Linked DNA regions of Xenopus tropicalis. The protein of the gene in region 1 interacts with the protein of each later gene in a biochemical or structural test. Links are inferred from orthologs where the notes say so. Each region holds a gene or a part of one and is shown in the gene's direction. Other genes may lie near its edges. The genes, in order: nmur1 and nmu.

Region 1 (3,650 bases):
CCATAGACCTGAGGGTCCCCAACCTTTTTTACTTGTGAGCTACAGTCAAATGTAAAAAGAGTTGGGGAGCAACACAAGCATCATAAAAGTTCATGGTGGTGCAAATATGGGCTGTGATTGCCTATTTGGTAGCCTCTATGCACACTATCAGGAGGCTTACAGGAGGCTTTGTTTGGTAGTACATCTTGTTTTTATTCAACTGAAACTTGCTGCCAAGCCAGGAACTGAAAAATAAGCACCTGCTTTGGGGACATTGGGAGCAACATCCAAGGGGTTGGTTTGCACATCTAAAATTGCCACCTTTCTGGGTGGGATGATGAAATTAAGGGGAGCTAAGGGTATGTAATAGGGTGGGGTGATATCAGGAGCACAAGACTATTGGCCAGACTGGGAGAATTTTGCCCCGGTTTCTCCAGATAAACGTTTAAACCAGACTGCCCAAGATAAAACTTTGCTGTTCAAAATTGGAAAGGTGGCAACCCTAACCCTATGTTCCAGTGGTCTAACTGTTTCTATGAATTATAGAATGTATTTTATTATTTCAGTAACAGTAGATATTTTGGATTAGTTTTTTTTGCTTTACAGTGCTTTAGTCAAGAAAACCAGTCTTCTTTAAACTTCTTTAAATGAGACCACACCTTGCTTAAATGAACATTTTCCTGTCCATCAGCATTCTATCTGTTTCTCTGAATTCTTATGTTATGAGTTTGACTTTTATACTAAGTCTCACTGCATTTTAGCTAGACATGTCATAACAAACCTGTAGGAAATAAACACGAATCTAATGAATGCTAAGCACTGCACTGCGTATGTTGCAACCCAGCTTATAAAACCAGCCTATAAATATCGGCAAGCAAAGTGATTGTCTCTTCCTGAGTGGCTACCATACGGAAAGCTGTGCACTGTCATTGTCATTGAGTGATAGCAACTTATCTGGGCTTATAGACCCTGCAATTCATCCAGGTGATGTTTGTATCTTGCTGCTTGAAGCTCTGGCCTCTCTCACTATGACAGCCCATGGCTGCACTCCTCTTTTATCTGTGGAATTTTTTGTCAGTTTTTGTCCTTATTAGGAAGCCATCCCCAGCCTCTTGGTTCTGAGAGAAATATCCCAGCTGGATGAACAGAAGTGACGACAGTAATAAATCTTGGAAATATTAACACCTTGAGCACTATCAGAGATTTGATTTCATTATCATTTATTTTTGTAGTGCCAACAAGCTTTACAACAATTCAATTAAATAAGTGTGTGTTTTTACTTTTTAGAGAAACAATAGATGGTGCGATACTTATGTTGCTTACCAGCCTCTACTGAAAGTGAAAATATACATCTTTCATGCACATGTCTGGTCATAACTGGTGATTATAAACAGTTTTATGTAATTTTTTTAGATGGACTGTTAATCTTAAACTGAATCTAAAACTGAAGGCAATAAAATGCTCTTTTTAAAATTTATATACATTTATATACATATATATGCAAATGTGTTACTCATCTAGTAACCCATAGCAACTAACCAACTAACCAAAAAAAATCTGATTATTTGCTATGGTTTACTAGATGAGGGCAAACTCAAGGGGACTCATTTATAAGCACTAGGCAATTTTGCACCTAGGCAGTAATTCATAACAAATTATCAGTCATTTTTTCAAACAGCTGCATGTAGAACAATGAAAGCAGGCATCTGATTGGTTGCCATGGGTTACTGCCTAGATGTGAATTTGCCCAGTATTTATAAATGACCTCTAAGATGATTTATAACATCACCCTGAATGGGCCCTGCTCTTGTAAAATCTCTGTTTGCGTAGGTCCATGTAAGCTGTAGTGCTCACAGCAACGGACCTTGTTCTACATACAATTTACCCATACTTATTACCATATGTTTTCGATTATTTTACTCAATGCATAATTTCTAAATATTTCTTTTCATTGACTGCTGCTGCCTTCTTCTAATCATGCACTAAATACTAATAGAAGAAAAAAATGATCTGCCAAAATCCTTAGAAAGTGTCATCGATTGCTCCAGAGATCATTGTATGTCCTTCTCAATACCTTGGTGCAGATTGGCTTTATAGACTCTTTACACCATTGGTACACATAGGAGATTTGCCTGCCATGTCTTTCCATTCCAGGAAACATAGTTGCTTAAAACAGCAGGAAAATATCAAACCTGCTGGCATTTTTATGCAGTTCCCATGGTTACTGTATATATTGGTGTATTTGTGCCTTGTTGGTATTACAGGCCCTTTTGGATTATGAATGCCCAGCAAAGTGTTGTTACCAGTAATTATAATGAATCTGCATCTGTTTGAAGAATTGTACAAAGACACATCAATGTGAAGTGGATGTTCACAAATGTTTGTTTTTTTCACTGCAGTTATCTTAGTGGTGGTATTTGGGATCTGCTGGGCACCCTTTCACACGGAACGACTGATGTGGAGTTTCATAAATGACTGGACAGAAGTGATGCACCAAATATTTAGCTTTGTCCATGTGATCTCTGGGGTGTTATTCTACCTGAGTTCTGTGGTTAACCCTATCCTGTACAACCTACTGTCCACACGATTCCGTGAGATGTTCAAGGAGGTCATGTGCCATGGAAGGACAAAAAGGCTGGGTTCCAGAAGGTCTTCCCCAAGTGTCACGCGTGTAACCACTCGCAGCACAGTGTGTGAAAATGTCCCTGGAAATGGATTACGATTCTCTGATGTTGATGAGTTTGTTGTATATTTAGAGTGTGATAACGTGGCAAAGAATTAGCCAATTTTCCATATTAACCAAAACTACCTGATATCATGCATACAACATCTGGCATACTGTAGATCATTGCACACCTGTTTCATACCATGTGCTTTTCTTCCTTCTATAGCACTTAGTGATGAGTGAATCTGTCCTGTTTTGTCTCACACTGCAGTTGCAAAACTGCTGAAAAATGTGCGAAACGGCAAAAGATTTGCAAAATATTGCTTCTGCACAATTTTGTTTTTTTGCAGCGACCATGACTTTTTCCTCACTCAGCAGATTTTTGTTGTGGTGAGTTTTTGCATCAGTTTTGCGAAAAAAAATTTGCGAAATGTGGAATATCACAGCAAATCCATGACTGGCAAAAATTTCACTTTTTGACCATGACAAAAGTACACTACATATCTATGGGGGGAGGCTAACCAGCATATACATTATGTCTAAAAAATTACTGTAAATTTGTGAGGTAATTTATAGTAGTGGGGGAAAGAGAGAAGCCAAAATAACTGGGAATGATTACCAGCATAAACCCCTACAGTCCTGCACATGTTCATGTTAAATGTCAAAGCAGATTCCATAGAGGTTAACAATGCAATGTGGAATCTAAACAATATATGAACAAATCTGTTCCCGGAAAAAATTTATAGCAAACAAATATGTTAGCAAAAATAACAATGTTTGTTCTAAATAAATGTATTTTGTTTGTGTTTGTGTTTGAATAGCAGGAAAATCAATTTGAAAAGACAGTAGTCACAATTATTAACACAGCAAAACAATGTTGTTGAGTTAATATGATCTGCATGTCAGCATGGTAATCAGTGTAGTCTGCAGCATCAGACATCAGACAAATGTGCTATGTATTAAAATCAATGAGGAAGACAGCATACGATTTATAAATTGTTACATT
Region 2 (4,494 bases), on another chromosome or scaffold:
AAGTTAAGGGAGCTCTGTGATAAAAAGAATGTTGCTATGGAGCGTGTATTTCCCACAGCACAATCTTAAACCTGGAAACAATGTGGCAAAAGCCAGAATACAGAGCCAGAGAGGGGGTGATCAAACACTGGTTTAAACTACAATTGCATTAACAAACAATGACAAAATGTACTGAATGTATAATGGAAAGATGCTTAGAATTACTTATTAGTTTTTGGGTGAAGAGCCCAATTCTGTATAAAGAATGGCCTGGTCTCTTATATTGCAGCATGTACAGGTATAGGATCTGTTATCCAGAAAGCTCAAAATTACAGGAAGGAAACCTCCCATACAGTACATTGTAATCAAATAATTACTTGCAACTCACCAATTTAACAAAAAGTAAGAAAAAGTAGAAATTGTGCTTCTAAATTGTCCATGGGAACCTACTATACACAGCAGCCTTGTAAATAAATAGAAAGTACCAATAAAATGAAATACATCCATCTCCCATAGACTCCATTGTAATCAAATAATGATTTCCTTTTTCTTTGTAATTATAAAATAGTACATTGTACTTGATCCCAACTCATTGGAGGCAAAACAATCCAGTTGGGTTTAATTAACATTGAAATGATTTTTTTAAGAAAATTTGAGGTATGGAAATCAAAATTAAAGAAAGAGCCCTTTTCTGAAAAACCCCAGGTCCCAAGCATTCTGGATAACAGGTACAGTGTACCATACCTTTATAAGTGAGAACAGTATTTCCAATCATTTCACCAGTCTGCAGAAGTAAGCATTCATAATACTAATGGCAAGTTAATGTATGCACATCTGTAACTGTCATTAATACAAGAAAACTAAACCAAACCTTTTACCAACACCTACAACTGAGAAGGTAATAATTCCCATTTAATATATACAAATGGTAAAAGGTTTCTATTTATATTGCTCACATAGGCCAAAAGTTAAAGCTCTAGAACAGGAGTCCCCAACCTTTTATACGTGTGAGCCACATTCAAATGGCAAAAGTTTTGGGGAGCAACACAAACATCACAATAGTTCAGGGGGTTGGCAAATAAAAGCTATGATTGGCTATTTGGTAGCCCCCATGTAGACTGGCATTACACTAGGTTTTTATACAACTGAAACCGGTCTTCCAGTCAGAAATTCAAAAATAAGCACCTGCTTAGAAGCCACTGGGAGCAACATTCAATGGGTTGGTGAGCAACATGTTGCCCCCGAGCCACTGGTTAGGTATCACTGCCCTAGAAACTCTAGATACTAACTAAAAAAGCCAATACTATTCCTTTGACTGAATAACAGCCCAGTTGTGTTATTTGTTGATCGCCAATGCTAACAATTGAATCCCCACAAAATGCACCCACAAACCCAAATTTTATAGTTGAAACAAAAGGCACTTGTCAGGATGCTGGTAATTAGAGGGAAGCCTATGGCTGGGTCTGGCACTGATGCACACAGCATGATGAAGGCAGGAGTGTGGGAGAGAAGTTGCTAATGACGCATTCTGACTGTGCGACTGGGCTCCTCCACCTTCATCTGCAGCCTTGTGGTTGGGTTATAAAAGTGCGGAGCAGCCAGAGGAGCAGCAGTGATAACTGCAGGCAGGTGGGAAGATTGCAGGGACTCCAAGCAAGCACTGTAACAAGGAAATCTTCCTCCTCCCTGCCAAGCCTCCTTACAGCACAGGGACAGCTTTGCTAGGAAGTTATGCTGGCTCCAAACCGGTGCAACAAACTGCCTGCTCTGCAATATGCTGCCAATATAGGAACACCACAGAGTTGCCCCCAGCTGCACAGCTTCAAATGGCAGCCTCCCTCCTGGCTGCTTTTTGCCATCCTCTTGGTATCTTGGGCTGCCAGCTGTAAAGGTAAGCTATTTCTTTTAGTCTTCACATCAGCAACACGTGTAAGTACTGTGTGGCTCAGCTTTGTGCCAAGCAACTGATGCTTTGTTCCATGTCTGTGCTGCTAAACACTCTATAACTTCTCTTTATCATGCACAATTTCAGCTGTCTGAACTACAGAACCTTTCAAGACTGCTTAAGCTCAGCCAAGCTGGAAAGCAACACTTTAAACACTTTAATAGAAACATAAAAACATTAAAATAAATGTAATTTCAAGCAATTTTATAGAATACATTAATTATGGATAAAACTGCAAATAAAAGCAGTTTGTATCTGCACTGCTGGTCCTGTCTCTTGAAACAATGTAGTAGAATTCAGCCGTGCGTGCTTCTTCGCAGGTCTGTAAAACATCTGGCTACTGCTACATTGTTTCAAAAGGCAGAACCACTACGACAGAGAAGAGACAGGGACACACAGCGTTAAATAGCACTTATATTTACAAATAATGTTAGAGCCACTGAAATAATGTATACTGGAAAGTTGCTTAGAAATGTAATTTTATCTTAGGCGAAAATTCTCATTGTGACAGAATTTAACATTTTTCATATTCCTTGTTTACTTTTTCTCACTATAACAACTTTTCATCATGCAATATTATTTCCTTATCAGTTTCTGATTGAGATATAGTACAGGAATGGGACCTGTTATACAGAATGTTCACGACGTGTTAGTTTACTAAAAAGGATTTAAACATTAAATAAACTCATTTAGCATTGATTTGCCCCTAATATGGATTAATGATATGTTAGTTGGGATCAAGTACAATGTACTGTTTTATTATTACAGTGAAAAAGGAAATCTGTTTTATAATGATGAATTATTTGATTAAAATGTAGTTTATGGGAAATGGTCTTCCCATAATTTGAAGCTTTCTGGATGACAGGTTTCTGAATAATGGATCCCATACTTGTATATGAAATTGTCCTCTACCATTACTGGCATTTGGTGTTGTAATATATGGCTAGCAATCAGTCCAACCCTCTGACCTCTACATAAACACATGGAGAAACCTTCTTTCCTGTGTTTGCCCATAATCTGGTTTCTGCATCTTATGGTCATTAAAATGCAATGCATTAAAGAAACTGGCAAGGGACACATGGTTACAATGAAATTATTAGAAGCAATGGTGGGCAGACACTAATTAGTCACTAATATTGTCCCTCTTTTTGATTTACATTCCTTTTTGTTCATTCAATAGAAGTGTGTGTTTTAATAATAATAATAATAATAATAATAATAATAATAATAATGTCCTCTTTGGGAATACATTCTCACTAATGTCTCAAGAGATGAAATTAACTAATTACAGTTTGAATCTACAATAAACTTTGCACCAAATGGGGCACCGGTGTATATGAAAAAGTGGAAGCATTTCAGTTTAAGAATAGGGTTGTATTTTAACCCCCTTGTGCCCAAGACGTTGCAGTCACAGCAAACCGCGTCTGGCTTCCTGGATTTTATATTTTCCGAGGTTGTTTAAGTGTCTTATCGTCCACAAATTTAAAGTATTGTACAAATTACATTGCATAGACATACAGGGATAGGTATGGAACCTGCTATCTAGAATGCTTGGGACCTGGGGTTTTACGGTTAGGGGTCTTTACATAATTTGGATCTCCGTACTTTTAAGTCTAGTTAAAAATAAATGTAAACATTAAATTAACTCCAAAGGCTTGTTTTGCCTACAATAAGAATTTATTTACTTGGGATCAAGTACCATTTTATTATTATTATTACAGAGAAAAAGAGAATATGTTTTAAAATGTTGCGTTATTTGATGAAAAAGGTGTCTGTGGGAGATAACCTTCCTGTAATTTTGTGCTTTCTGGATAAAAGGTTTCCAGATAATGAATCCCATGCTTGTATGCCCCTATAGCTCTGTTTTCTGACATGCTTTTCCAAATAAGAGTAATTTAAAGTACCTTAATGATATACAGGTATGGGATCCATTATCTGGAAACCTGTTATCCAGAAAGCTCCAAATGATGGAAACACCATCTCCCATAGACTCCTTTTCAAATAATTCAAATTGTAAAAAATGGTTTTCTTTCTCTTTGTAACAATAAAACAGTACCTTGCACTTGGGCATATCCCAGATCTCAAGCATTCTGGATAACAGATCCCATACCTGTACCTGTTATGCATTTTTCAAAGGGGGGCATTGAGGAAGCAGTATATATTTAAATAAGCATGATTCTGTTTAATCACAAATAGACAAAAATAGGTATGGGATGTATTGTGGGTTCATATTCAGCTGCTACACTGTGGGTTTACTCACTGAGCTGCCAGCTCTGTCATTTTTTGTTAAACAGGGATGTCCAATCTACATCTTCTTAGCACTTGTTGATCTACAGCTCCCAGAATCAGTTGCTTGTACTTGTACATTAACTACAGCTGGAGGGCAGCAGATATACTTTCACCATACTGGAAGGTTGTATTTTAATGACAGCTGGCGAACTACAGACATGCTTTCACAGTTCTGGGACTTGTTCCGCAACTGGAGGGATGCAGATTTTGAACTTCTTTTCTTTCACTGAACAGGTCACTGTTGCTTTCAGTTTATTTATTCTCCAAATTAATACTTTATG

Evidence for each region.
Region 2: the proteins of nmur1 (region 1) and nmu form a complex in vitro, tested with the Homo sapiens proteins (2 studies listed by BioGRID). The link is inferred for Xenopus tropicalis from reciprocal best matches to the Homo sapiens genes NMUR1 and NMU.

What each region holds. Positions count from the first base shown.
Region 1 is NC_030681.2:100,931,644-100,935,293, reverse strand, and holds the end of nmur1 (neuromedin-U receptor 1), read left to right. Parts: intron 1-2,378; coding exon 2,379-2,761; 3' UTR 2,762-2,947; downstream 2,948-3,650. UniProt on the Homo sapiens protein: Receptor for the neuromedin-U and neuromedin-S neuropeptides.
Region 2 is NC_030677.2:40,473,360-40,477,853, reverse strand, and holds the start of nmu (neuromedin-U), read left to right. Parts: upstream 1-1,578; 5' UTR 1,579-1,710; coding exon 1,711-1,870; intron 1,871-4,494.